Linked DNA regions of Mus musculus: all the other regions are reported to be linked to region 7. Evidence: microRNA targets listed by miRTarBase, many of them from high-throughput screens and not tested one by one. Region 7 holds a microRNA gene; each other region holds the end of a gene's coding sequence. Distances are from middle to middle.
What was found. Region 7 holds the annotated microRNA mmu-miR-297a-5p (AUGUAUGUGUGCAUGUGCAUGU, at 3,013-3,034, opposite strand). A microRNA usually pairs through its seed, bases 2 to 8, with sites in the 3' UTR of a target mRNA and lowers its output. Matches are read on the target gene's strand: a 7mer-m8 pairs with bases 2 to 8, a 7mer-A1 pairs with bases 2 to 7 and ends in A, and an 8mer does both.

Region 1: the mRNA of Ceacam20 is a reported target of mmu-miR-297a-5p. Seed matches in the 3' UTR shown: 7mer-m8 at 3,432-3,438 and 8mer at 3,108-3,115.
Region 2: the mRNA of Ccnt2 is a reported target of mmu-miR-297a-5p. Seed matches in the 3' UTR shown: 7mer-m8 at 3,038-3,044.
Region 3: the mRNA of Pura is a reported target of mmu-miR-297a-5p. Seed matches in the 3' UTR shown: 7mer-A1 at 2,885-2,891.
Region 4: the mRNA of Arf2 is a reported target of mmu-miR-297a-5p. The part of its 3' UTR that is shown has no 7-base or 8-base seed match.
Region 5: the mRNA of Kcnab1 is a reported target of mmu-miR-297a-5p. Seed matches in the 3' UTR shown: 7mer-m8 at 1,430-1,436.
Region 6: miRTarBase lists Map4k3 as a target of mmu-miR-297a-5p. Seed matches in the 3' UTR shown: 7mer-A1 at 1,474-1,480.

What each region holds. Positions count from the first base shown.
Region 1 is chr7:19,989,761-19,993,829 of GRCm38, reverse strand. Ceacam20 (carcinoembryonic antigen-related cell adhesion molecule 20) reads right to left here. Exons shown (of 12, transcript NM_027839.2): 12 at 2,717-3,857. The coding sequence ends at 3,804. It also overlaps a transcript of Nlrp9b not described here. Among named protein-coding and RNA genes, the nearest start is that of Nlrp9b, 16 kb to the left of the region's middle.
Region 2 is chr1:127,802,971-127,807,039 of GRCm38, reverse strand. It overlaps Ccnt2 (cyclin T2), which reads right to left. Exons shown (of 9, transcript NM_028399.1): 9 at 2,203-4,069. The coding sequence ends at 3,481. Among named protein-coding and RNA genes, the nearest start is that of Ccnt2, 31 kb to the right of the region's middle.
Region 3 is chr18:36,287,289-36,291,357 of GRCm38, forward strand. It overlaps Pura (purine rich element binding protein A), which reads left to right. Exons shown (of 2, transcript NM_008989.4): 2 at 1-4,069. The coding sequence ends at 839. Among named protein-coding and RNA genes, the nearest start is that of Pura, 8.2 kb to the left of the region's middle.
Region 4 is chr11:103,983,276-103,987,344 of GRCm38, forward strand. It overlaps Arf2 (ADP-ribosylation factor 2), which reads left to right. Exons shown (of 5, transcript NM_001304574.1): 5 at 313-2,075. The coding sequence ends at 474. Among named protein-coding and RNA genes, the nearest start is that of Arf2, 19 kb to the left of the region's middle.
Region 5 is chr3:65,375,936-65,380,004 of GRCm38, forward strand. Kcnab1 (potassium voltage-gated channel, shaker-related subfamily, beta member 1) reads left to right here. Exons shown (of 14, transcript NM_010597.5): 14 at 544-2,290. The coding sequence ends at 633. It overlaps Ssr3 (signal sequence receptor, gamma), which reads right to left. Exons shown (of 5, transcript NM_026155.3): 5 at 3,722-4,069. Among named protein-coding and RNA genes, the nearest start is that of Ssr3, 15 kb to the right of the region's middle.
Region 6 is chr17:80,578,219-80,582,287 of GRCm38, reverse strand. Map4k3 (mitogen-activated protein kinase kinase kinase kinase 3) reads left to right here. Exons shown (of 34, transcript NM_001290345.1): 34 at 353-1,775. The coding sequence ends at 440. Among named protein-coding and RNA genes, the nearest start is that of Cdkl4, 2.8 kb to the right of the region's middle.
Region 7 is chr7:10,955,465-10,959,533 of GRCm38, forward strand. It overlaps Mir297-1 (microRNA 297-1), which reads right to left and starts at 3,048; the gene lies at 2,973-3,048.

The sequences.
Region 1 (4,069 bases), 9.0 Mb from region 7:
CAATAAAAATTTTTCTTACATAATGTAAAGCTATATTAGCCATACCTAGAGGCAAAATTTTCCAGTGATTACCAGTTCACTAGAAGCAAACACTTTACAATTATCAGAATGCAAAGGAAAAAAATAAACTTTTAAATCTATAATGACTTTACATGAAATAGGCAAGCCAGATTGTAATGCCTTTATAAGTTCTACAGTCTGATTGACCTTTTATAAATTTTGAATTTAAACTTTACTTGGAACAACATCTGGATAGATCTGCAACAGTGTTCTTTTAGCTAAAAGAAAATTCCCCTGGAGGCAAGGAGAGGCAAGTTTCAAGAACTTCCTTGGGCATGGTTTGCAAAACAAAAGAAAGTCACACAAGCCTCACTGAGGCTGCTCTGAGTTTTGTATGGCTGTATGGCCACAGAGAGCTGTATTAGTGCTCTCATAAGATGATTACTCTTGTAATTATCTTAATTAACAATATATGGGTGAGTAGAAAATCTTAAATTTGTAATCAAACTGCAAGCTGCAGTCAATGAAACACTGGCATTTTTAACCATAATTTTTAAGTTTCTTTTGCAACGTTAGGATAATATCTACAACCTTGGGAAAACAAAACCCAATTTTTTTATTATTTTTTATTAGATATTTTCTTTATATACATTTCAAATTTCAAATGCTATCCCGAAAGTTCCCCATACCCTCCCACACACACACACACACACACTCCCCTACCCACCCACTCCCACTTCTTGGTCCTGGCGTTCCCCTGTACTGAGGCATATAAAGTTTGCAAGACCAATGGGCCTCTCTTTCCAGTGATGGCCTACTAGGCCATCTTCTGATACATATGCAGCTAGAGTCACGAGCTCCGGGGTACTGGTTAGTTCATATTGTTGTTCCACCTATAGGGTTGCAGATCCCGTTAGCTCCTTGGGTACTTTCTCTAGAGCCTCCATTGGGGGCCCTACAAAACCCAATTTTAAAACAATTTATCATCTTTAAAATCAATATTAGAAGCATTACTATCATATTATGAAGTTTGGCTGCCAATTTATACCTATGAATGCATGACAGTGCAAATTTTAATGCTTCATTAAAGAGACATTGTTTGTTTTAAATCTTATCTTTAAGTCTACCTATCAGGATAAGAATCACATTAAATATTATCTCAACTAGAAGTGTCCTTAGAGGCCTAGCTTTTTGGCCTGCTTTATGCCACGTGTTGGAAAGACTCCAAACCTAAGTCGCCAATTTAAAGCTGTCTTGCTACCAATGTTACACCTTTAAGACCAGTAAAAAACCAAATGCAGTGGCTACATGAGTCTTGTAAATTTAGACCAATCAAAGAATTTTACTTTTTATAGCTATAATTATAAGATAAAAAAGCACTTTGTCATTTCCTAAACACAATAATCACGATTGCAGAGAACCCTCCAGGAAAAAAACAACTATCAGCTTTTTTGCCCCAAAACTAAGAAGCTGCAGACTCCCTTTCTTTGAAAGCAGCTTTTCCCAGTAGTGGCTCCCCTGCTGTGCCTGATCCCTGGCTAAAGTGTGGCCACTCTCTGGCTTTGCTGAACCAGCAGCTAAAGTCTCAGCCATTTTTATTTTCCAACATGAAACACAGAACATTCAGTTGTTCAGACAACGGGACAAAACACACATGGATTGACACGTAAACGGATTTGGTGCACCAGACATTAGACAACACAAAGAGGGCAGAGAACTTCTGCTGCATGGGGCCAGAGAGAATAAAGCAAGGCGTCCCTCGATTTCTCTCTGTCTCTGGGAGAATTTCAAAATCCATTTCCTCTATTTTATTTTATTGTATTGTATTGTGTTGTATTGTATTGTATTGTATTGTATTGTATTGTATTATTTTAAACCCTATTCCTCTAGCCTAATGTAGTTCTCGACTGCGGACAACCACCTGTTTCATTATTTTAAACCCTATTCCTCTCACCTGAAACAGCTTTTGAAAGCTGCGGGCAACCGCCTGACTCAAAGTTTCTAGCCCCACACATATTTCGCTGTCAAACCTAAGTGGACCCAGCGCTGGGTCAGCACTGTTCCAAAGTTAGCCCGTATCCTATTGCACCTCCAGTAACACTTTTAAAAATGAAGTTTAAAGCCAGCACTAGCATAAATACCTGTTGCTCACTGTGCCCGATACAATCCTCTGATTCTTTCCTTCTCATGGAGCTCCACACAAGATAGCAATTCCCTCAGGGTTTTTCCGCCGTTCCCAATGTCCCTGGTTCGGACACCAATCTGTTGTATGCCAGCCCGAGGCCTACATGAACCAGGTACACCTGGGAGGCAGGCTGGGGCTGAAAGAGACTTAGACTGTGAGAGAAATTAATGGAGACCAAGACACGTTTTCTGTTCAAGGCCCACGAGTTTACTAAGAGACCGTGCTTATAAGGGCGAAGGCCCATCTTCCTCCTCCCCCTACCCCCCCCCCTCCCCGCCAGTCCACTCTTGGTGCCTGGAGCCATTCGCCAGGCTGGTTGCTATTCAGGAATGTCTCAGGAAGACAGGTTCAGCCTCTCGGCAGGTAGCAGAAGAGCAGGGCAGTTTTCACTTCAAAAGAAGCCAGCCAAGTTGGAAAGCTCCACTACAGGTGATCCCACCTCAGTGGTACAAGGTTTGTATCAGTCTGCTTCAGGCTGGGAGAGGCCACATTTTATTACAGCAATAGAAATCTAATTAAGACACACTATTGTTTTCTTTTAAATAGTTTATCTTTATTTTTATATGCCTGTATGCTGGTGTGAGGGGTGCCACTGGAGCTGGAGTTACAGATAGTTGTAAGTTTCCATGTGGGTGCTGGGAATTGAACTTAGGTCCTCCGGAAGAACAGCCAGAGCTCTTAACTGCTGAGCCATCTTTCCACTATGCAGCCTGCCATTGCTTTTTTTAAAAAAGGAAGATTTTTTATGTGTACCCAGGCACTATTTATTATGTGTGTGCACATAAGCACATGAGGCTCAGGAGCTGGAGCTAACAGGAAGTTGTGAGGCACTGACCTAAGCCCTGGGAGATGACCTTGGGTCCTCTTGAAGAGACATGTGCATCTTAAGCACTAGAAACCTCTCCAGACCCTTTGTTGCATTTTGTATGTGTGCTACTAGGGACTGGACCCAGATTCAATGCCTGTCAGGCAAAGCACTTAACCACTGAGCTTCTCATCACACTGAGCTGGGTATGATGGCATATGCCTTTAACCCCAGCAAAGGCAGTGGGATCTCTATGAGTTCAGGGCCATCCTGATGTACATAGCAAGTTCCAGGCCAGCTAGGGCTGCATAGTGAAACATTGTCTGAAAGAAAAGAAAAGAAGAGAAGAGAAGAGAAGAGAAGAGAAGAGAAGAGAAGAGAAGAGAAGAGAAGAGAAGAGAAGAGAAAAGAGAGTGAGATTTGCTTTTTTTTTTTTTAATCTGTATGTCTTCATGTCTCTGCAGAGGCCAGAGGAGGGTATTGGATCCCTAGAAGCTGGAGTTAGAATAGGTAAGTCTCCATACAAGGGTTCTGGGAACTGAACCTGTGGTATTTGGAAGAGCTGCAAGTGATCTTAATGACTGAGCCATCTCCCCAAAATCCAGCTATTTATAGCTCTGTTGCTATAAATGAAGCGTGAGCCAGAAGCTAAGATTTGGTGGAACCTGTTTGTCCAGAGTCTGATCCAGCTAGGTCATCATGAAGTCCGCAGTGGTGGCAAGGAATGGCTGGATTCTAAAGTGCAGGTATCAAGGTCACAGAGTATGTGGCCCAGGATGGCATGTCTAACTGGGAAAAGAAGCTTGGCATGCGTCAGGCTGATGGGGTGATCTTGCAGTAAAGACTATGGTTTGAATTCAGCAGTTTCTGTTAAACAAAGGGAGAAAGTGAGTTCTAGCTATTAAGTGTGCACTCTGGTCTAAGGGACTTGTCATCTGCAGCCCAGATAGCCTGAGGCATTTTACCCCTCACCTCAGATATCCCTCCTTTTTCATTGCATTACAGTCATACTAGTATCTCTAGGCATAGCCTATGATCCTGCCCACTGCGACAGACAGATTCCAAGGTGGCCCACAACA
Region 2 (4,069 bases), not on the chromosome of region 7:
GTTATAGAGGAAGACCATGTCTCATCTCAAAGATTCCAAACCAGAGACTTTTTCTGAGAAGTTATCAAAATAAGCCATCTCCATAATGCAGGAGCCTTAAGTCATCCAACCAACAAATCATGTTGCACCCATGCACTAAATAGGCAGCGGCTTATATAATGCAAATAAAATCAGAATTTAAATCGTAAGAAAATACACTTTCTTGAAACATCTTAAGGCAAGGTATTTGGTGACTAATGACATTTCAAACTGGTTCTCTAAAGTAAATCCTAACCTGTTCTGTTTTTACTTCATAGGGAACAGATAGGTCCAAATGTTTGGGAGTTCTGTATAATTACTATCTGTTGGCACAAAGTGTGCGCTCACGAAACCACCCAGTACCACACGAGACATCTTTAAAGCTGAGTACTTAGTGCTCTGAAGCGTACCCAGGACTGGCACTATAGCCTTCACTGCTACTCCATAGGAGACATGTGGGGCCTTATCTACCAGTGGGCACTGGCACTGAGTTTGTAATGCAGGCCTCCAGAAGGCTCCCACAAAACAAACACTCCTCTGCTTTGGTTCTGAAGACAGCTTGTGTTAGTAGCTAAGGCAGAGATTTAGGAAGCACATACTGATTTTAGAAACTTAGCTGAGAGAGGTAGACAGGAAGCCTCTGATTACAATGTGCTTTTGCAACAAGGTGGCAAACCTAGGGAAACACCTTAAGAATGAGTCACTCTTTTATAGGATGATGTAAAGAGAATGCTTTTTAATCATTTTCAAGTATTAAAAAACTCATCAAAAAATGTTATCACCTTAACAGTACTATGCACATGTGAAATTTCACACCTAAGTTTGATACTATTTTGGTTATTTATGGCTACTTATAAGACTCACAATAGAATGTCCATTTATTGAGTCTTTTTTCTTTGGTAGAGTCTAATGGGACCATGCAAATGAACTATGTTATGCAAACAAGATCATTTAAGCAAATTCATGGTGATATGAATTATAAGGGTTTTCCTTAGTGGACAGGAAACAAGGAGTCATGAATTTTCCCCCATTGTGGTTTTAGCATCTTGTTCTGAGGTTGAAGAGTTTGAATAGTTCACACAATCCTGTAAAAATCACACTGACTGCCTTTTAATAAATAGTCATTGTAAAGAATTACATTTACAGAGTGAGAAGTGAATACACAGCATTTCAAAGTCAGTTCTGGAAGCACTAAGTGTACTTATCCACAGCGTAGACACTATCTGTTTAACTGTCCATCATTAGCACCAATGAAGATTCAACAAAATTACCTTTATTCCCATATCTAAAAAACAAAACAACAAACAAAAAACAACACATTTCTGAAAATCCTTAGTGAAGTTTAACTACAGTCCCAGACCTTAAATATTCACATTGTTTTCTATGTCATACTGAAAATAAGTTTGCTACGTCTCTGGATACTCTTTACAAAGGCTGATTAAAATTCCTGGGTCACTCCCAATGATACAGTAGCACGACCACCTCATGTCAATTCACATGATGCTCTGTTGAGGTTTCACATCTAAATCACCAAGAACAAAACCCTTCCCTCCCTCGCCTTGTACTCTGTTTAAATCCTATGCTAGTTCTTGGAAATGTACCACGGTAAAACTGTAACTGTATCAAAATCATCATGTTTATGATACAACAGTATACCACAGCAACAAAAATCACATAGTAACAAAGATTACCAATGAAACAAGAACAGAGTGAGGACTAGCCTGCTAGGCTGAGTTCCCACAAAGAAGCTCCTGACATCCCAGGTTCAAATAACATTGACAAAATAATCAACAATTTTCTTTAAAAAACAAATAGCTACTGGCAAATGGGATAACTGCTAAATAAAAGTAGAGTACAAGGCTCAACTCTAATATTTACAACCACAACATACTTGAATAAAATTACAATTGTGCACAGATCAGTGGCTTTATAACAAAACATTTCATATACAGAGGAAAACTTGTGATTCAATACAAGTTGAACCCGACCCATCTTAAGAGACTCAACAGCTAAGACTTACCACAGAAATAAATTCAAGGTTAGGCAAGAGACAAGAGCCATACTATTGGTGCTTATACCAAAATTTAGACAAGTCAGTCTATCCCCTGACAAGGCGTCAGGTGACAGTGCAAGCATTACCTCAATGAGAACCTACTAAGACGTGCAAACGCATGTAAAACCCCAGCATGTAAAACCCCAGCAGTGGCTTGCCTGAGGCTGGCCTTTTTCCTTACATTTTCCTGATAATGACCATAAGCTATAAATACAGGTACAATGCACAGTCAGCAATCTTTTCTTTTTTATTTATTGTTAGAATATAAAAGAATCAAGAGAGCATAGGTTTAATTTCATTTTTATAAGGAAGACTGCATTTACCTGAAAAAGAAATATGGTATCTCTCCCTCACACCCATACCCACACACTCACACTCTCTCTCACATACACACTCACTCTCTCTCTCCATGGGAAGAGTATATTCAAGACTATGGTGTCACTGCAATGCTAAAGGAAAAGTGACCCCTGTTCACTCTTAGAATCTGTAGTGTCAGCGTTCCTGAAGAAATGGACTCATCTTCACTGGGAGCTGCTGTGAGCAAAGTCACAGTCATCCTCACACCAATTATTAGCTGCTTTCTACAGCACTGCAACAAGCCAACAAACATTTAAATGCACTTCACATCAAGAGTATGTAAACTTTATTGTGTTTTCCTCTTCAAGCCTTCAGAAATCAACGGCTGATTCTGCAGCCAATCTGGTCAGGACCTCTGAAGGCAAACTGAGTGCTTCCCAGTGTTAAGGACCACCCATGGCACCACATTCCCGTCTAGTAGTGAAGTGTCCCCTCAGCGGCTTCCAGTAAGGCCTAGAGTTTAATTAAGGTTAACATAAAAAAAGTGCCACTTGTGTTTTAGATTAGTGATGGACTCTGACGAGAGAAAATAAAGTTATTCTGTATATTGTTATTCTTACAAGCAGCTCCAATCCTGAGTATTTATGGTAATATCTAAACATACAAAAATGTATGTACATTTTTCTCCACTTTCTTGTAAACAGCTGTCAGTATACTGTTTTATCCCTTTATCACTGAGACATGCAAACCATACATACAAGTATAAATACACAAAAGAAAACAACTGACACTCATTCAAAGCCAAGCAACAACAAAAAACAGCTACAATATTCAAATCATAAATAAGAGAAGCTTGAAGCAGCTTAGGCTCCTAGCAGCAGCCAGCCATTCATCCTAATGTTCTCAGCTGCATCTTCCATGCGGTTACAGTCCTGGTAACACTATCGTATGTGGAGATAGGCTTGTTTACTATCATCTCTTCTTTCAGAATGAAGAACAAAGCAGCACTTACAAATATGGAAGCAGTGGCACCACCGCCGGACCAGGAGGGCGTTTTCCATTCCAACCATTTTTAAATTAAAAAGGCAAGGAAAAGTTGACCTAAACAAAGGTTACATATTCATTCCTTGGGCACTTAGCAGCGAGTCCAGCATGTCGAATGTGTCTTTGTAGTCCATATGCTGGCTGCTTGTACTGTACTCGTGATTGGCCTCAGGACCGTGGGGCTCCACTGGTTTCTTGTCCAGTTTCACGAGGGTGCTGAGATGTCCGTAGCCCACCTGGTATGTGACAGGGGGAGGAGGGGGTAAGGGATGGTTAAAAACAGAGCTGTGAGAGGATAGATACTGCTTAACAGAGGAAGAACTAGATGAACTACCTGCACTTTTGGAACTTTTGCTCATTTTGGAGTGGTGGTTGTGGGAGGCTTCGCTGCTATGCAGCTTCTTCCTTGCACTGGAGGCGGAGGAGACGCCTTCAGGGCCCAGGCCCACAGGACTCCTGAGCACCGTGGGAGGCATTCCATCCGCTGTGTGCTTACTGCCTCCACTGTGCATGTGCAAATACTTGTGGCTGCTGTGGTGGCGGTTGGCAGGGTGCTCCTTGTGCTTCTCCTTGTGGTCTCTGCTGATGTGTGGGCTTGAGTGCTTGCTCTTCCCACTGCCTTCATCAGAAGAGCTGTGTCTTTCCGAGGATGCCACT
Region 3 (4,069 bases), not on the chromosome of region 7:
GTGGCGGCGGCGGCGGGGCCCCGGGGGGGCTGCAGCACGAGACGCAGGAGCTGGCCTCCAAGCGGGTGGACATCCAGAACAAGCGTTTCTACCTGGACGTGAAGCAGAACGCTAAGGGCCGTTTCCTGAAGATCGCAGAGGTGGGCGCTGGCGGCAACAAGAGCCGCCTCACCCTCTCCATGTCTGTGGCCGTGGAGTTCCGCGACTACCTGGGCGACTTCATCGAGCACTACGCGCAGCTGGGCCCCAGCCAGCCACCCGACCTGGCCCAGGCACAGGACGAGCCACGCCGGGCGCTCAAGAGCGAGTTCCTGGTGCGCGAAAACCGCAAGTACTACATGGATCTCAAGGAGAACCAGCGCGGCCGCTTCCTGCGCATCCGCCAGACAGTCAACCGGGGGCCCGGCCTGGGCTCCACGCAGGGCCAGACCATTGCGCTGCCCGCACAGGGTCTCATCGAGTTCCGTGACGCTCTGGCCAAGCTCATCGACGACTATGGAGTGGAGGAGGAGCCGGCCGAGCTGCCCGAGGGCACCTCCTTGACTGTGGACAACAAGCGCTTCTTCTTCGATGTGGGTTCCAACAAGTACGGCGTGTTTATGCGAGTGAGTGAGGTGAAGCCCACCTACCGCAACTCCATCACCGTGCCCTACAAGGTGTGGGCCAAGTTCGGACACACCTTCTGCAAGTACTCCGAGGAGATGAAGAAGATTCAAGAGAAACAGAGGGAGAAGCGGGCCGCTTGTGAGCAGCTCCACCAGCAGCAACAGCAGCAGCAAGAGGAGACCACCGCTGCCACCCTGCTACTGCAGGGCGAGGAAGAAGGGGAAGAAGATTGATCAAACTGAATGAAACACACACACACACACACACACGCATACACATACGTGTACACACACACACACACAGCCACACACAGAGAAAATATACTGTAAAGAGAGAAAATAAAAAGTTAAAAAAAAAAAAAAAACTCCAAGGGAGCACCACCCACAGAACCTCCACCAACTGACAGTTTCTCTTCTTGACTTGCCACCCATCGCTGGATGTTGTCCACTTTATCCACCATATAAAACAGTAAGCAGCTGCTAAAACAAAAAACAAAAAAATATACAAAAAGTAATAACATTATATGAACTGTGTTTCCTACTTGATTAAAAAATATAAAGAACTGAGTGTTTATTTCCCTAATTAACCAAGAACTTTTGTACACGTTTAAGCTATTATTATTAAAAGTGTTTGCAAAATGGTCAAGATTATAATATTGCTGAATTATATAAAAAGTCCTTTTCATGTTGAGCTAACATTTGACTTTAGCACAAAAAAAAGAGATATTTTAGAACACGTAAAATAATATTTTTAGTTTTTCTCATTTTGTTACCAAATTTCAAACCTTACATGGAGGTTATTATAGTATATTTGACATCCTATATACCTGTGATTAGAGATGTGTATATATATGAGGGCTAGGCATGCTGTGTGTCTGAGCTTTGTCTAAATGTTATGCAGAAGTTTGTAGAGTTCAAGGTACGTAGGTTTAATTCATGCAAGGTAAACAATAAGTGCTCTCTTTTATACAATATGCATTGCATCTGGACCTTAAACATATAAAATGGTCAGTGAAACTTCTGTGAACATGAAGAAATTATTAAAAAAGGCATTTAAATGAAATTTGCTAAGTTGTGATTTTTATGGTTGGAACCAAAGTTATTCAAATAGTAAAAGAAAAAAAGAGAAAGAAAAAGGAAATTTCCCATAATATTTTTCTGCATCTGTTTGCTTTGACTGAGTAGATGTTTTGTTATTATTGTGTATATGAGATGTACTTGTATTGTTCATAATATATATTTTTTATTATGTGTAGAAAGATTTTAAAAACCTAACTAACGTGCAGCAATTTCCAGTGAACCTGTATTTGGATATCAGGTAGTGAGTCTATTTGTGGTCACTAGCACTGTCTCCTAAACTTGTGAGAGGTCTGAAGCTATCCTTTGATTTTTGCCAGTGCTATTAACTTATGTAGACCTGTTTAAAAGCAAAGCAACACCATTATAGTTATCCTACTGAGCCATGGATTCTGAGTTTCATTTCAAAAGTGAAAGCCAAGTTGGTGTATGTAAAGGATTTCCATGTAGCTGTGGTGCTAGTTATTACTGGCTACATTATATGCTAAGTGTATTTGTGTTCCCAAGTGTACACGCCTTCTGTCAAAAGTATGTTCTATTATCACTCATATTCAAAGTGTAGGGTATGAAAACGCAAGCTTAGGAGAGCACTTTACCAAGCTGGTGTCCTCCACTGAAATTGTTTGTAACGATAGTCTTTTACAGGTTTTCATTTAAAGATGTTTATGTGCTTTTAATTGACAACTAACTTCTTGCTGCTGTATAGTAAAATATTAATATATTTTTTATCATTAAACTGCTGCATGACTATCATCTTTGAGTGAAGAGAAAATGTTATAAAAAAGATGCCTTAAATACAGTACATTTTGGTTTGGAATTCTGTAGAAAGTATTTTGGTAAAAAAAGAAAAAAGAAAAAAAGAGGATCTTGTATCTTGTCTGACAGAGAGAGTTCTGGACATGCAATTGTTTCTTGGCAAAGCCAGCCATCTAGCTCTACCTGCTGTATGTAGAAGAAACCACCTGTAGGACTGGGAAGGTGTCAGCACCTCTCCCATTGGACAGTATCGGCCTAGGAAGGCAGAACAGTTATCTTTTTTGAAGGATTTTTTTTTTTTCCTGCTGGCTCTTTAGGTTTTGATTTGATAGTTTTAAGCTTTCTGGTTGAGTGTGTTGTCTTTGTTTTTGAGATCTACTGTATGTGTTGAATAGCAAGCTATTTTCATTGTACTGTGCATTTTCCCATTGTTTGCTTTTCATATTCATACAATGTTAAATATGAGGTGACCGTAAAATAGTTAGGAGTTTCTTTACTTACAAAATCACTGGAAATTATTAAATTGCTTTCCCCTCCCCCCAAGGTGCATTTTTTATTATTTTCATATAGTAAAGTTGAGCTTTTACAGTGCATAATGTGACATTTGGAATGCTTATCAACTGCATGTAAACATTAATAACCTGCACTTTTTGTCTTAAGGTTTGTTGAGCTGTTTTGTTCACTGTACTTTAACTGTGATATGGAAAAGATTGCATTCTCTGTGCTGTTTCTAATTAGGAAAGAGAATTGCTTTGATTTTGTCTCTTGTTTACTATAGCTTCTTAAAGTTAAGCCTTGTGCTACGAGTTGTTGGAGTACTCCTAGATCAGTGTTTTGTAGTAGCCAGCAGTCAGTAGTGCAAGTCAACAAAAACACAGCAAACTTAGGCAAAGTGTCCTTTCTTTGAGATGCAAGTTCTTTCGTAAGGTTTTCTTTAGGGTCAGTTACCTAAAGTAAAACCTTTCTTACCTGTAGACTTCAGATTCTGCTTGGAATCCTACCGGATCAAGAAGCACATGTATTGTGCAGTTGTCTTTACACTATTAACAGTTAACACAATCTTACTAGGACTTTGAATCCATTGTCTGATTTATGGTCAGTGGGTTTAAAAAGAAATCCACATGCAGATCTTTTAAGACTTAAAAAGTGGTCATAGAGAAGACTGAGTGACTGTAAAGATGCTCTTTTTGTTTAAAGCATCTCACTTTTCTCTCCCATTGACCTCCTAACCTCCCCTTGCCCTTCTCCTGTTTCATCCTTCCCCCTACATTTCCCCTCCCAGGTGCTCGGTACTTTACCAAGGTTCTATATTTCAGTGTATTATGTTAAGAGTCTCTTCTTGTTTTTATTTTACTAGTGGGTAGCCCCAGTTTGTGCTGAAAAAAAGGGGGGGGTATATTTGACCATATGTGTTACTCATTGACAACAGTATGATCAAATGTGCCAAAAACAAGCAAACAGAACTTAATTCATGACAAGTATGCCTTATTTTTATTGATCTGCTTTGTCTTACAATTAAGGTCCAAGAGCTTGGTTAAACTATGTTATATGCCTAAGTAAAAAAGAAAACTTGAAATGCATTGAAATATTGATGTTTTTTAAAATGAGAGACACTGTCAAGTAATTTGATT
Region 4 (4,069 bases), not on the chromosome of region 7:
GTGATCTGAAAATAGGCCTTAGGGGCAAGCACGGAATCAGGGTGACCAGTGAGGAGGTTATGTCCATTATCCAAGTGAACTGTGGTGGGGTCAGATTAGGGTGTGGTGGCAGAGAGAATGGTGAGAGGTGGTCAGATTCTGAGTAAATTCTGATGGTAGGACTGTTGGGATTTCCTGCTGTGTGGTCTGAGAAAGAAAAAGCTAAGGTTTTGGGTCTGAGCCACTGAAATAGGGCCGGGGTATGTTTTAGAGGAGGATCCTGTTGCATTGCATGACTACAGGTTGGTAAACTGTTTGCTTGTTTTCTTTAAGGATCTTCCTAATGCTATGAATGCAGCAGAGATCACAGACAAGCTTGGCTTACACTCCCTTCGCCAGAGAAACTGGTACATTCAGGCTACCTGTGCGACCAGTGGAGATGGGCTTTACGAAGGCCTGGACTGGCTCTCCAACCAGCTCAAAAACCAGAAGTGATCAGAAGCAACCCATTCCCCATGCATTGTGGCAAAGCCAGCTGGCCTTTCCCGTGTGCATGTGAGCGTGTGAGGAGCCCAGGGGGCTGTGTGGCTGGAGTGGGGGCAGCTTTCTCACACCGTGCCTTATACACGCTATACGAAAACCAGTATTCCATTTTAAGAAAACCAGTGTTACATTTTGAATGCTACCTTCCATTTCACTAGCTTTGATGGTCATTTTTGCTGAGGCCTCCCTGGGTGTGATAGCCAGAGAATCTCTAGCCTGGAAAAGAAGAAAGCAGGAGCCAGACAGGTCCTGTTGTTGCCAACCTGGGTCTGGCCTCTCCATACACCCAGAATTCTGTTGGACGTCAGTGTCCTTTTATAAAAGGAAAGGAAGGATCTGTCATTCTTTCCATTGTGCCAAAGCTAGCAGCTCACTTGTAGTGCTTTAAAGCTCCCGAGAAGAAAAGATGCATTATTACCACGGGTGTGAGGAAGTTCAGAGGGACTACTTCCCCAAAGTTCTGTTAGCTCAGACTGACTCATTTAGGTGGTTTTAGCCCAAGGAATCAGTGACCTTTTTCATTAGAGTATCAAGACTGTAACACTAGAGAAGTTTCCAGCCTGCTCCAAACGTGCCAAATGGAAACTCTGTGGGCTGCTGGCCCAGCAGGAGGCAGGACTCTTCCCTTAAGCCTCATGGTCCACGGTGGAGTGAAGGTTGGCTGGAGGAAGTGAAGGGAGGTAGCTCTTGTGTTCTGGCGTCATGGCTCAGGCCCTTGAGGCTGCTGCTCCCACTTCTCTGCTCTGTGCTGAGTGTTGTTCACATGAAGCAGACAGTTGTCCTGGGTGGAGTTGTCACTGTGTCCCGTTGTCCCAGTCTACTGTAGGCATTTGGTTAGTATCTGTTTCCAGAACTGCGCACCGTGAGTTCTGAGAGTTTGTGAGAAAGTCGGGAGGTTAATGTAGGAGATGATGTTCCCAGTGGCCCCGATACTCCCTGAGATGGTGCTAAACTGTGCTCCGAGAAGCATCTTTCACTTAGACTGCTCTCGAGGCATAGGCTCCCTCCTCAATGGCAGCGGCATCTGAAGAGTGGCTTGGAAGTGTGTGCTGTGTTGTCTTGCAGATGTAGTGATAGGAAGGCCCAGAGAGGAGCTGGCTTCAGCCCTAAGCCCTCTGGCCACACAGCTCTGGGCCACATTTGTACCTAAGCCCTTTTACTGCTTAACGTTTTAAAACTCCTTTCAGAAAAAAATTGATCCCTGCTGCTACAGGAGGGGGAACACAAGCTGAACTTCAAATAAATCTTGTTCATTGGTAACAAAGTTATACTAGGAAAAAATTCCATGCCATTGTAAATGTGGGCTGTAATGTTTTTCTTTAAAAAGTATCTTAAAGAATGTTCATTGCAATACTGGTGACTAAGTCCAGATGTGATTTTTAATCACAGATGAATTCCTGAGAAATGTTGAAATTGTACACCTCCCATTGGCTGGGAGCTCTTGCCCTTTGTAATTATGCTTAGTGTGCCTGGCCTGGTGCTGGGCTGCGGTAAACATGTGGTGATTGGTTAGACAATAAAGAACTTACTGGGAAGTAGACATGGTCATGTTCTCCTGGATGTCTGAGCTGGCTCAAGTCTCTTTCCCCTTATTTCTGACTTTCTTCTAAAACCTCAGGATGTGTACCCAGGACACACCAGGAAGTGCCCCACCCTCAGACCCCTGACCGCCTCCTTCCTGGCACCTCACACGACATCTCAAGTGGCTTTAGAACTGAGATGTCAGTAAAGTGCAAGTCAGGGTACTTCACTAGGATTCCGAACAGAGCCCTGGTCCTGGGAAGCCATTTTCAAGTCTAGCTTGCCCTGCTCTCCAGCCACTCACCGTTAGCCTTGGTGTGTCAGAGCCTGTCAGCATGAGAGGCCAACACTGACCTCAGAGGTGAGAAGTAAATGCTCTATGCCTTCGAGTGTCTTGCTCTGCTCTTCCCCCAGATGTCATGGTGTCTAACCAAGGACAGCAGCACTAATGTCCCCCACTGCCCAGCATCGCTAATAGCATCAGAGAGTTGCTTTAGCCTTGCCTTTCCCCTGGTGCTGCCTAGAGCTCTGGTCTTTATAAGTGTGCTCTGTGCGGCAAGACTGGCCCAGATACTCATGAAAAAAGCAGACTGTGGGGGCTCAACCTGCTTCCTTTAGTTTTTTATTCTTATTGTACAGTTCAGTGAGTCGCCATATTCAGAGTATGCCTCTACCAATTTTAGATGATTTGTATCAGCACCAAAAGAAGCCCAGGGTCCCTTGGCACCTGTCCCCTCTTCTTTCCCACACAATCTGGGAAGCACTCACCTGCTCTGTCTCTGGATAGGGGCTGGGGGACTACTGAATGATCTAGAAGCACCAAGGCTGTGTCACATGCAGGTGACCATGGACTTTACCACAGTAGGAAGGGAAAGGTTGCTACTACAATGTGACACCAGGCATGAAAGGGCTGTGGTTTCCCATTCAGAAGGGAAGAGCTCAGGCTAGGACAGAGAACACAGAGCTCTGCCACATACTAGCAGATCCTCACTCCCCTGTCCTAGAAATGCTCTCAAGGCTTCTCAGGGGCACGGGCCTTTGTGAATGTCAAGAGTATGGGATGCTAAGCATGGCTGGGCCTGAGAGTTACCAGTATAGTGCAGAGCTTATAATTGACGTGTTAAACACCATGCCTCAGTGATTGAGACTATTTCCACAGTGTTAGGACAGGAAGAGTATGTGGTCCATTTTAAAGTAGGTTTCTCATGTGACTAAAGTGACCTAGGTTCCTTGGCAGGCATCAGGTAGACATTGTCATGCAGTACGTGGAAGCCCCGGTGATAGGCTATGAGAGAGGCTTCTAAGTAGTGATTAGTACATTCATGGATGTGGGCATCCATACTGTGGTTTTTGAGAGCTTTTTCTTGTTTAAGTTTTATGACTTTGGGTGCTTTGACTGCATGTATGACCATTTACTGCTCGTGTGTACATGGTCATACATGTCTAGTACCTTCAGAGGCCAGAGGATTTCCTGGAACTGAAGTTACAGATAGTTGTTAGCTACCATGTGGGTTCTGAGAATTGAACCTGGTTCCTCTCGAAGAGTAGCCAGTGCTATTAACCACTGAGTGGTCCCTCTAGCCTGAGAGTCTTTTTTTTTATAGGAAAGACGATGTCAGGGCAGGAGAGATGGCTCAGCATTTTAGAGCACTGGTTGCTTTTCCAAAGGACTTGAGTTTGATTTCCAGCATACAACTGTCTCTGACTCCAGTCTTAGGGGACCTGGCACCCATTTCTGGTTTCTGAGGGCACTAGGTATACACACGGTACAGACATACTTGCAAACAAAGTACCCATACACATTTTTTAAAAATATTTATTTATTTATTATATGTAATTACACTGTAGCTGTCTTCAGACACTCCAGAAGAGGGCATCAGATCTCATACGGATGGTTGTGAGCCACCATGTGGTTGCTGGGACTTGAACTCAGGACCTTTGGAAGAGCAGTTGGCGCTCTTAACCGCTGAGCCATCTCACCAGCCCCCCCCCCCTTTTTTTTTTTTTTTTTAAAAAAAGGTCTTTC
Region 5 (4,069 bases), not on the chromosome of region 7:
AAAAATGTGTTGGCTGACTACAATGTAATAAAATGTACTAATTCTATTATTTTAAAGACAGCATTATTACCTGCTAGAAAAATTAAAACATAAATTGCTTACACTGAAATTCTACCAGATTAAGCTACTCTGTATTCATGAGACTTTAGTCCTTTTTTTTTAAATACATATGTTTTTATAAAGGATTTATTTCATTTATATGAGTACATCATAGCTGTCTTCAGACACACCAGAAGAGGTCATCAGATCCCATTACAGATGGTTGTGAGCCACCACACGGTTGCTGGGAATTGAACTCAAGACCTTTGGAAGAACAGTCAGTGCTCTTAACCGCTGAGCCATCTCTCCAGCCCCATGTCTTCATTTCTTTAGTCAACAAACACAATCCCTGACTTGAAGCTTATCCATTGTGGGGCATGGGGTAGTGGATCTTCATTTCAGCTATGGCTTGCAAACATATCGCAAGTATAAATGACTGCTTAATGTGGACTCCACAAGACAAATGCGCAACCCTAACCCTCTGTGCTTCTCCCCTACCCTCAGGTCCTCCCTAAGATGACATCTCACGTGGTGAACGAGATTGATAACATACTGCGCAACAAGCCCTACAGCAAAAAGGACTATAGATCATAAGGCAATGCATGAGCCACTTAAGCTGCATGGGTAAAGTCATGATGGGTAGGCAGTGCAGAACGGCCTTACCAGCCACTCTTTTCAATCACTTAGCAGTTTGCTGCTCAACCTCTAGTGTCCCAGGATTCTCTGAGGTTTCTGCTGTTGCTACCACTGTGCACCCTGAATTCTGAACACATCTGAAAATTCACAAGCCAGAAAATCCATTCTATTTTCTTATCTTGGACTGGTCCCCTACCCTGGCACTGGTCTGTGTACCTCATGTTTTTGCAATGGAAAGAATGCTGGGGTAGGGGAATCTATTATCTTCAGAAGAAGGCTGTACATATATATTTTTTTCAAAAGAACAAATTTCACAAGATACAGTATATGACCTGCATAGGAAACAGGATATCCTCACTCTTTAGTCTTGCTCGGGAGAACAAACTGAACTAGATTTTTCCCCCCATATTTCATATTCACACTAGCAAGTTTTATGTCACCTGATATTCAAATAAAATTTCTAGATATTTGCTTTCACTATCTCTAAAGTTATATTGTTGCCTGGCCCTGTACAATTTAACTGGGGTGTCTCTCAGGGTTCTAACATATCCATTTGCATAGTTATAAAGGCATGACTATCCCAAGATACATAATAGATACATAATGCTGATTTATAAAAAGGTCACAATGTTATGGAAACAGCTTTAAATAAAATGTTAAGTGTTCATTTTTTACTTTCTATTAAAGCCTACATTTACTTTCAATTGCTTGTAGGCACAACTTCTGTTGAGGCTAAATATTTGACTTTAAAAATACATACATGTTCAGTTTTGTAATTAAACCTATAAATACCCAGAAAGGCAAGTGTTCAATTTACCATTGGGACATTATCATATAATGCTTGGAATTTTCTGAAGTTATTAACATGAAAACAAATCATAGGCGATGTTAAGAAAAAGACAAAAAAACATTTTTTTTCTCATTCCTCGGCACATGCTAGATGACTTAACTTGCCCAAAGAAAAAGCAAAATATTCAAGAAGCTCCTGGTTCGAATTGTATCACACCCTACACCATATGCATGAAAGCTCTTTGCATGGAATAAAGGGGCCTAGCTTTGCACTCAGAATCTGAGATACACTTAGCTCTGCCTCTACGGGCTAATTCCCCTCACTGTATCCCACTTGAGAAAAACTGTAAAACTATATATACTGTGTGGCTATCTGTAAATACGGATAAGACACAAGGGGTTTTTGTTGTTGTTTTGTTTTCTGTAAAGGTGGGGTCATTTTCTAACTCTTATTTGTCTAACTATAGATGGGCAACATTCTACTTCATCTAGTTAGCAAGTTCTCCATCACTTTAAGATTTACACAAGAAATATACGAACTTAAAATCATTTTCGGATATGTACCACATGGTTAAGTTCTAAATCTTAAACTATCAGTGAAAGATACCAAGAAATATGATTGTGACTACCTAGCTAGCCTCCAGCAGGCAACTTGGGAGTTTCACCCGTGAATATCTGAATAATGATAGAGATGAGCTAACTTTCCATCTATTCACTGTAAATGTAATCCACTGAACTACTGTACGTATAAATGAGTGGAGTGCTGTCTAAATAAAAATCAATTTATTTGCTTAGAGTAATAAAGGCATCTGCAATCTCATAATACATCTTTTGGGTCTTTCATTATAAAATACAAATAAAATGTCACCATGAAATAAACAATAATCCCCTAAATAAATTATACTGAAAGCTATACTACACTGAATGCTTAAGAGAAGTCACAGTGACTAAAAACAGGCTGAAACAAGGAACTCCCGTCTCTGAGGAAACAGAATGCACAGGATCCAGAGTTCAGATATGTTAGACACTCTCTCAACCACCACCATCCCAACAAAAAAGAAAAAAAGACCGAGATTTGTGCTGCAAGCTTTGCGTGCTGGCACACACCTGTAATCATAGCACTTGAGAAACTGGGGGGATGGGTTTTAAGTTTGTGGCCAGCTTGGACTGCACTTACAAGAAAACTAAAAAATGTTTTGCAAACTCCTTTCCTTTCAGTGGATTTTGGAAAACTGCACACTAAAGTTGAAGGTTCTCAAACCCTCTTGAAAGCAGCTGCAAATTTAAACCAAACATGGGCAACACTAGTTAGCTGTGGAAGCAGCCAATTTGGACATATCTACCAAGGTAAACTGAGTAATGCATTTCAGTTTTACCCTTATGAAGAAAAGCTTCATTTACTAATTTCCTCTTCAAAACTCCATGGCAAAAAACTAGTCATACTGGTCTCAAGCAAGACAAATACAAACTACAAACTCTGGGCCTGGATTCCTACTTCAGGAACTGATAGAAACATCATAGACTGCCAAATATCATTCAAGCACACAGCAACAGCACTGCTTCAAGGAACCTAAGTGGCAAAGCCACTACTTGCATAACAAGGAACTCAGGTCAGGACAGATAAAGAAACTGACCCAAACTGCTAGTTCATTACAACCCATAGTCCCTGTATGCTAGCCCACAGCTCTTTAAAGACTTTTTTCTTTATAGGGCTGTTTTTACACTCAATTATATGAGGGTTTTTTTGTTGTTGTTGTTGTTGTTGTTGTTTTTAGAGACAACCTACTCCACGAAATAGTCTCTGATCTTCATGTATACATGATGACACACTTGCCCTGCTACCCCAATTTTCTCTACCTCAGCTATTGTGCATGTGTCCGAGTATCTACCCGCACAATAATATAAAATTAAAATTAAATAAAATGAAAGACCCGCCCAATCTCCTATTAACTACCCTAAGACTTCAAAATAGGTGGGAAATAAACGATATGCTGGTATTCTTCATACATGCACACGTGTACATTCATACAAATCCTTCCTAACATAATGCCTGGTAGGAAGGCCCAGCAGGCACACAGCAGCACACTAGGGCAGGGACGGACTGTTCCTTCCTGTAACTGTGCTACGCCTGTCACTGTCTCAGACATCTGGCCAGAGACTTCAACAGGGCACTTACACGTGTAGGAAAGAGGTCTAATATAAAGTGTGTAATAAATACTCTTATGGTTCACATAAAGAATTACAGAAAAACAAAACACATTTTTAAAAACAAAGTTTAATCATACTTATTAATAACAAGACTTTTTTTAAAATGCAGAGTATAAATTCCACTTCCATCATTTCAGTTAACTTCAAATTATCCTTTCCAAATTAAAACAATATATCAAACAGTACAAGTTGTATATTTAATCCAAGACTTCTATTAAGTTATAAATGAGTAAATCGTGAAATAAAAATTCTTAACACTAAGAGTCTACCTATCACACATATGAGAAAGGAAAGAATGTGAGCACTCTGAATGTCCTATTTTACTGGTGTGATGTATGGGGTCTTTTTATGGTACAAACTCTGCCTGCCACAGATTTCACTGTCTTACTGAACACTT
Region 6 (4,069 bases), not on the chromosome of region 7:
TACTATTATTTTATTCTGAATTACCTTTATGTTGGTAAACAGACTGTTTTAGGATTAATAGGACCAAGCCCACCCCCTCCCCACATTACTCCTGTAGAATTGGTTTCTCCTTAGCCCTTGCCCTTCACACCCTCAAGTCCTAGAAGAATACTGATGTAGAGGTAGGCAGTGGGCACCTCCCAGGGCTGGAGTCAGAGTGACTGGGGGTAGATTCTGCCCATAAGAGCAGTGCTTAGAGTAGTGTCTAAAAGAAGCCATGGTTGGCTGCTTGGTTTGTTTGGGGTTTTTTTGCTGATGTTAGTTTTCATAAATAAATAACTTTGTTCTGTTATGTGTTTCTTATTACCTTTAGGGTTGTGGTTTTGGAAAGTCGGCCAACTGATAACCCAACAGCAAATAGCAATTTATACATCTTGGCGGGTCACGAAAACAGCTACTGAGACACGGTGTTCTTGACAGTGACCTGTGGAGACAGTGACCACAGCTGCTGCAACGTTAGTGGAGGAGTGAAGCTATGCAGACCCTGCAGGAACCTAGATTCTGTTTCTTATAATTTATTGTGGCATGAGACAGATGGGAGAACATTTTGTTTTAAGTGGTATGGATATATTTAGCATATTGAACCACACAAGTGCTTAATTCATTGTTATGTAATCTTTGTACATATAAGCAGTATTTTTCTGTGAAACTTCATATTGCTGAAGGCATACACTAAGAATTTATGTAGATAATGTACTTTTATGAGATGTAAAAGTGTCTTATCTGTACAGATGTAAATGTTGATGAAAATGCAACTGGGGTTAATATTTTAAGAATTCTTTAGTATATTCTTGGGTGTGGTCATATTACAAAATGGGATGCTGGCAATGAACCAAGACATTAACACTATTGTATTTTTATTATATATAATTTAGTAATATGGACATAAATCCTGTAACTTTTAAAATGGTAACGAGCTGTAATCATTTTATAATCTTGTTTTTAATTTTAATGCACGTGCACTGGTGTTTCTCCTGCACAGAGTATTGACATGTGATGTGTTGTCACAGAGAGCCTGTGACACCCACCGTGAATACAACATCTTTTTTACATGTATTTGGATTGTTTTCTATGTGAAACAAACCAGTTAACCACCTGTTGTAGTAACTGATCTTTTTATATTTAAGGAGAATTGTGTAAGATAAGCTTGTCTGTGCTTAGGATACACCTTCGCAAAAACTTAAATCATGGAATGGCGGTACCACGGTAGAACACTGCAGCTGTCGCCAGGGTTACAGTGCGCATAAGAGCAACTCGCATTGCTGAGGAGTCCGCACTAGACATTTCACAGTCACACTGAAGAGCTGTCACATTCCAGAGTGAGCTGATCAGGTTTCTCGTGGGCTTTTACTTCTGTTGGCATTAGTTTATCACTTCCATATTTCTTTAGATTTTGAGTATTAATACATGGCCAAAATAATTTAGTTACTACCTCATACAAACATTATAATGGTTACTACAGATCACAAGAAGTTAGTTTGGTTAAAATCATTGTTGATTGGTTTTTTCCAATGGAGTGTATCTGTCTTATCAAGATAGATACCAAGTTGTAGCAAAGTGCACACCTCTGACTCTCTTTGGTATATGTTCATATGTTCTTTATATTTTGATGTGAGTATATATACACTAAGAACAAGCTAAATTGTGATTTATGCTTCATTTATTTTAACTGATAATGGTTTTAAATACGTTCCTGATTGTACATACTGTAAAATAAACATGTTTTTTAACATGCTGTTGCGTAGTTGCTGGTCAGTCGGCTTAGTAGCATTAGAGGGAAATGCTTCGTGTGCAGTCAGATCGTAAGCATCCAGTTCTCCCATGATCATCATTGTTTGATCTACATTTTAAATATAATAATTCCCACATTTGAGAAAGAGGGCATCTTTTGTAGGATCTTGAATTCTTATCAGGAAAAACAAACACTCATAGTGTTTTGGTTGAAGCTGGAGTAGGCAGTTTATATCTTAGCCAGGTATAGCCCACCTCCTCTTTTTATTAATAAAGTTGTGTGAGAACACAGCACCACCTATGTGACCTGTCACCTAAGGCTGTGCCTGTACTTCTGTGTCACACCTGAGTGGTTTCAGAGGAACACCGGCCTGAGAGCAGACACGTGAGCTCTCAGGCCCTTTACAGAAAGTAGGCTGTGACAGCCTGGGAGAGCACAGCCAAGGAGCGTTGGGGACGCCGTTCTGAGGGCAGGGGCAGGAGGAGACGTGGGAAGAACTGACTGAGTAACCAAAACACACTGTCTCTTAGGGTGACCTTGGGTCATTTAGTCCAGAACCATTGGTTGCCTAAGAATCAAAGCAATTTTGGATGGCACTTTCTCTAATATGAATAATCAATCAACATTAATTACTAATGACACTTTTTTTAAAAAATCCACTTACATGAGAATGACATCACTAGCTGAAAAAACAAATTTGGGGGGAAGTTTTTTAAAAACCAGATTCTATTCTTAGCACTGCAGGGCAGTTGGTGCTCTTAAACCTCAGCTGATGTTCATTCCACTCCAGTACATTACATCTCAGAAATGGTCACAGTGGACTGCCACGCACTTAGAAATACTGCCCCTCCCTGAAAAAGGTACATAATTCATTGCTTAGTAACCATACGTCTTACAAGATATCTTTGGACTCTTTAGAGAGTAAGGCCCACTAGTTTTTGTCTCTATGGAGTATGAATTATTCTGATAGGCCCCACAGAATAAGAGCCACTGGCATAAGATTGCATTGACGTCGACAGACCACTGGCTTTGAAGAACAACTTACATGGCAGTTTCAAGTACAAAGTCCTAGGTTCCACAAAGGGATCCGCTCACATAAGTGGTGGGAACGATCTTATTCTGTCTGCTTTCTTGTTAACTGTGTCCTTACTGGTTTTGAAAGCGGCAGTTTATTACAGGCGGTTTTGGTGGATGTGTGAGTTGTGTTTTAGTAGAGACCACAAAAATAAAGGTTTTAGTCATCCTCATCATTACCAACACAGAAGGGAAAGTACGGGTGGAAAAAGGTAGCCTAAAAACCCTGAAAGGTTTTCTAACATTTGTTGGTGATCTATTGAGGGACTTTTGCAGATCAGAGGGAAGATGAAGGTAAGCAGTGCGGTCAAGCGCGGCTCTAATCCCAGCTGACGTGGAGGGTCATGAGTTCAAAGCCAGATTGGAACTGTAGAACGAAGTGTTCTCTTGTTTTTTCTGTCTCCCTTTTCCATATAGATATATACACACATATATAAAAGAACATAAACATACATGTGTGTATGTATATATATATATATATATATATATATACATACACATATATATGCACAGCACACGTAATATGTATAGAGAGAACAAACGGTATCTTGGATATGCTTTGGGGAAAGAGAAACTTACATATAGACAGCTGTAGACATCCTTGGTAGAAGAAAAGGAACTTGATATGCAGGGATGGGCTGACGGGTGATGCTATAGTTGAAATGCAAAAATGCCGCATGTTCAAGGAACGGTGATGTTAAATGCAGTAGAGCTTTGAGTGTGTGGACAAGGACCTGGCACAGAACCAAAGTGGGCCGGTGAAGAGTCTCTGTGTAGATGAGTAGCTTGGAGAAATGGGGAGCGAATGGGGAGCATTCACAACTGTGGAGACAGGAGACTCAAGTTCAGAGTCTTGGCTACGTAGCAAGTCCCAGGTCAGCCTAGGCAACATGAGATCCTATCTCACAAAAGGTGGAGAGGAGCCAGTCCTTGTGATCTTTAATCCCAGCACTTGGGAAGCAAAGGCTAGCAAATCCCTGAGTTTGAGGCCAGCCTTTTGTACATAGCAAGTTCAAGGACAACCACCAGGACTGCATAGAGACCTTGTCAGACTGGGGAGACAGTGGATAGAGATCTCCATGCAAGTGGAAAGACTTGAGTTTAAGTCCCTAGAATCCCTGTGAGCTGGATGGACTCCATCTGTAACACCAATGCTCTTGGGGCAAGATGGAGAGACAGGAGAATCTTTCCAAAAGTCACAGGCCAGCCCCCCTGTCATACACA
Region 7 (4,069 bases):
GAAGATCCCACTGTGTTAAAAGGAGGAATTCAGAAGTCCCAAAGATCCCATGGTGAAAGCATAAAGTTCATGAATATAGAACAAGTTGAGACCAATTTTTAATGCCCAGACATACTTTGATTGTTGATGTTTTCTATGGCAATATCACTTTTTTTTTTCTTAAAAAATGACTTACTTGTATAAGTGGTTTTGCCTTCATCCGTGTACATCATGTGTGTACCTGGTACCTTCAAGGGCCAGAGAGGGCATTGGATGCCCTGGAATTGAAGCTCTACATGGTTGTGAACTGCCATGTTGCTGGGAATGGAACCCAGGACTTCGGAACAGCATCAAGTGCTCTTAACCACTATGGGTGCATCTTTCCAGCACCCACAATTTACCTTTTCGAAGTCAGATGACTAAGTCAAGGCCAAATGTTGAAAAGACTTTATGACTTGTGACATAGGATCAAAAACAAAATTTGGGTCATACCTTGCCAATAAAACACTAGCTTATAGATTTAAAATTTTTAGTGGCATTATTCATTTGAGTAATTTGAATTTGTGTCTTAAAAGTAAAATAACAACAAAAAAGTATATATGAGGTTTCAAAATATTCCAAATAAAATGGAATATGGAGCTGACATGAATGTTTCTACTACTCTGATGAAACACCATGACCAAAAGCAAATTGGGGAGGAAAGGGTGTATTTGGCTCTCATTTCCATATCCAAGAAGGTCAGGACAGGAACTCAAACAGGGCAGGAACCCGGAGGCAGGCCCTGATGCAGAGGCCATGGAGGGGTGCTGCTTACTGGCTTGCTACTAATTGGCTTGCTCCTCCTGGTTTGCTCAGCCTGCTTTCCTATAGAACCCAAGATCACTAGTCCAGGGATAGGACCACCCACAATGGGCTGGACTTTCTTCATCAAACTCTACTTTTAAAAATGCCTTATAGCCTGGTATTATGTCTTCTGCAGACATTTTTTGAATTGAGATTCACTCCTTTCAGATGACTTTAGCACATGTCAAGTTGACATAAAATAATCCTAGCCTGCACAAATTATTAATCAGGGAGTATTTGTCTCTGGAAATACATGGCCTATAAAAAAAATCTAGTAAAGAGACATGATCCAAATTCTCTACAAGTCAAATTGTAACTTACAAAGAATACATACACAGTATTCTCCTTGAAAATTGGCAAGTGATATTCATGTTAAGTGAAAATAGACACAAAGGTATCAACATATTCTTTTCCTGAGTTTTGTTTTCACAATCTTCTGTTAAATAAAGAAAGTAAGACCTCTCTCTCTCTCTCTTTCTCTCTCTCTCTCTGTGTGTGTGTGTGTGTGTGTGTGTGTGTGTGTGTGTGTGTGTGCGTGTGTGTGTGTGTGTGTTTGTGCATGTATGTGTGCGCATGTGTTTACAGGAGTGGGCTCAACAAATATGTCAAAGTGAATAAAGTTGTTTGCATTAATATGAGCTTGCCATGATTTTACTCTTCAGACCTGAGCATAATAAAGGGACAAGTCCCTGCCATATATCAATCTATGACATCAAAGACAAGTTGGATTCTTTTTTTTTTCCATTTTTTATTAGGTATTTAGCTCATTTACATTTCCAATGCTATACCAAAAGTCCCCCATATCCACCCACCCCCAATCCCCTGCCCACCCACTCCCCCATTTTGGCCCTGGTGTTCCCCTGTACTGGGGCATATAAAGTTTGCAAGTCCAATGGGCCTCTCTTTCCAGTGATGGCCGACTAGGCCATCTTTTGATATATATGCAGCTAGAGTCAAGAGCTCCGGGGTACTGGTTAGTTCATAATGTTGTTCCACCTATAGGGTTGCAGATCCCTTTAGCTCCTTGGCTACTTTCTCTAGCTCCTCCATTGGGAGCCCTATGATCCATCCATTAGCTGACTGTGAGCATCCACTTCTGTGTTTGCTAGGCCCCGGCATAGTCTCACAAGAGACAGCTACATCTGGGTCCTTTCAATAAAATCTTGCTAGTGTATGCAATGGTGTCAGCGTTTGGATGCTGATTATGGGGTGGATCCCTGGATATGGCAGTCTCTACATTGTCCATCCTTTCATCTCAGCTCCAAACTTTGTCTCTGTAACTCCTTCCATGGGTGTTTTGTTCCCAAATCTAAGGAGGGGCATAGTGTCCACACTGGGATTAAAGGAGTATATCAGCACTCCTGTCAAAAATTTTTAATTAAAAATAGATTGGTTGATTGCACATGGGTGTTTTCCTGCATTTTTGTATGTCTGTTCAGCACCTGCATGCCTGGCACATGTAGAGGATAGAAGAGAGCATGTGTCCCCTAAAACTGGAGTCAAAAATAATTGTGAGTTACTTTGAGTGCTGTAAGTTGAACAAAGGTCTTCTAGAAGAGCAGCCAATGCTTTAACTAATGAGTCATCTCTCCTGATCCAGATTTTATTTCATTTTTTATTATGCATATACTGTGGGAGCTTGTGTATGGATCTGTACACACAAATGCAGTGCTCTCATTAGCCAGAAGAGGGCACAAGAAACCCTAGAGCTCCAAGCTTAATGGCAGGATTGTAGAAAATATATAGATTAGTCTAATTTACACAATGAATTCCCATCCAGCCAGAGTTACATGGGTAGACCCTGTCTCAAACAAATAATTATGTATGCTGAACAACCTCCAAATTGACTAGAGTGAATACCTTAAATTGATTCAGTAGCTAAAAGGGTTTGTCAGGTCCATCTCTTTATTCTGCCCCAAAGGAAGAAACATAAGCAGTCCCGTTGACAATTTAGCTGGGCACTGGAGAGATGGATGGCTTTGTGGTTCAGAACATTGGCTGCTCTCTTCGAAGCACCTGGGTTCCATATCCTGTACTGACATCAGGTGGCTAAAACCATCTTTAACTCTACTTCAGAGAAACCAACATCCTCTTGATCATCTTGAAGCACCTGCATGCTGTAGTACACATACAAACACAAGCAAATACATACATGTATGCATAATATATACATGCAATATGCATACATGCACATGCACATGCACACATACATACATACATACATATTCTTTAAATTTAGCTCTAGGGCCTGGCATGGTGGGACATGCTGTTAATGCCACCTCTGTGAGACTGTGGCCAGGCAATTCTACATAGCAAGTTCCAGACTAGTCAGCTTCATAGTGATACCCTTTCTCAAAAACAAATCAATTAGCTTTTGCACATGCATGCACTTGAGAAATTGAAGTAGGAGGGTCAGGAGTTTGGGGTTCATCCAGGCCTACATGAGATCTCCACCAAAAAACAAAATCACTTTAGCCAAAATGATTAAATTGTGAGGTGTGCAACAGTATATATGACACACAAAGATGCATGAGCTTATGTACAGGAAGAGAGCAGAAAGGACACTGAGTGGCCTGCTCTATCATTCTCTGCTTTTTCCCCAGGCAGGATCTCTCACTGTACTTAGAATGGGGCCCCAGTGTTCTTCTGTTTCTGTTCAATAGCACTGGGGATATTGGGCAGCACATACTTTTTCATGTGGGTGTTGGGAAGCTGGACACAAGTCCCTAGCTTGTGCAACAAGTGCTCTTACCCACTGAGCCACCAGGAAATATGTAGTAGATTTTTTTTTAAATTTAATATCAAAGCGAAAAAGTCTGCATGATTAAAACTAAAGCCCTCGTAGCATGGTGGTATATATCTCAGCTGAAGACAGAAGAAAGACTGTAAAACTCGAGGCCAGCATGAGCTATCTAGTAAGTTCTAGACTACCCAGAACTACCTTGTAAAACTACATTGCAAAACACAAAGACAGTGAAATAATCCATTATCAAGTATTGCAGAGAAACCCAGCTTTCCAGCGTGGAAGTGGAAAGAGCCATCTGGGACAAAGTCTGCATAAAAAGACGACTGCACAAAACATGGGGAGCAGATTTTCTAGCTTGCTCTTGCTGCAGGGGGCCTTCCTAGAGGAAACCAATTGTTCCTTCTCCATGGAGAAACTCAGATCCATGAAAGTGGGGCAACGTGACTCTGTAATCTTATATTATCCATATTTCATGATACAGGAAGGACTATGTGCCTCATA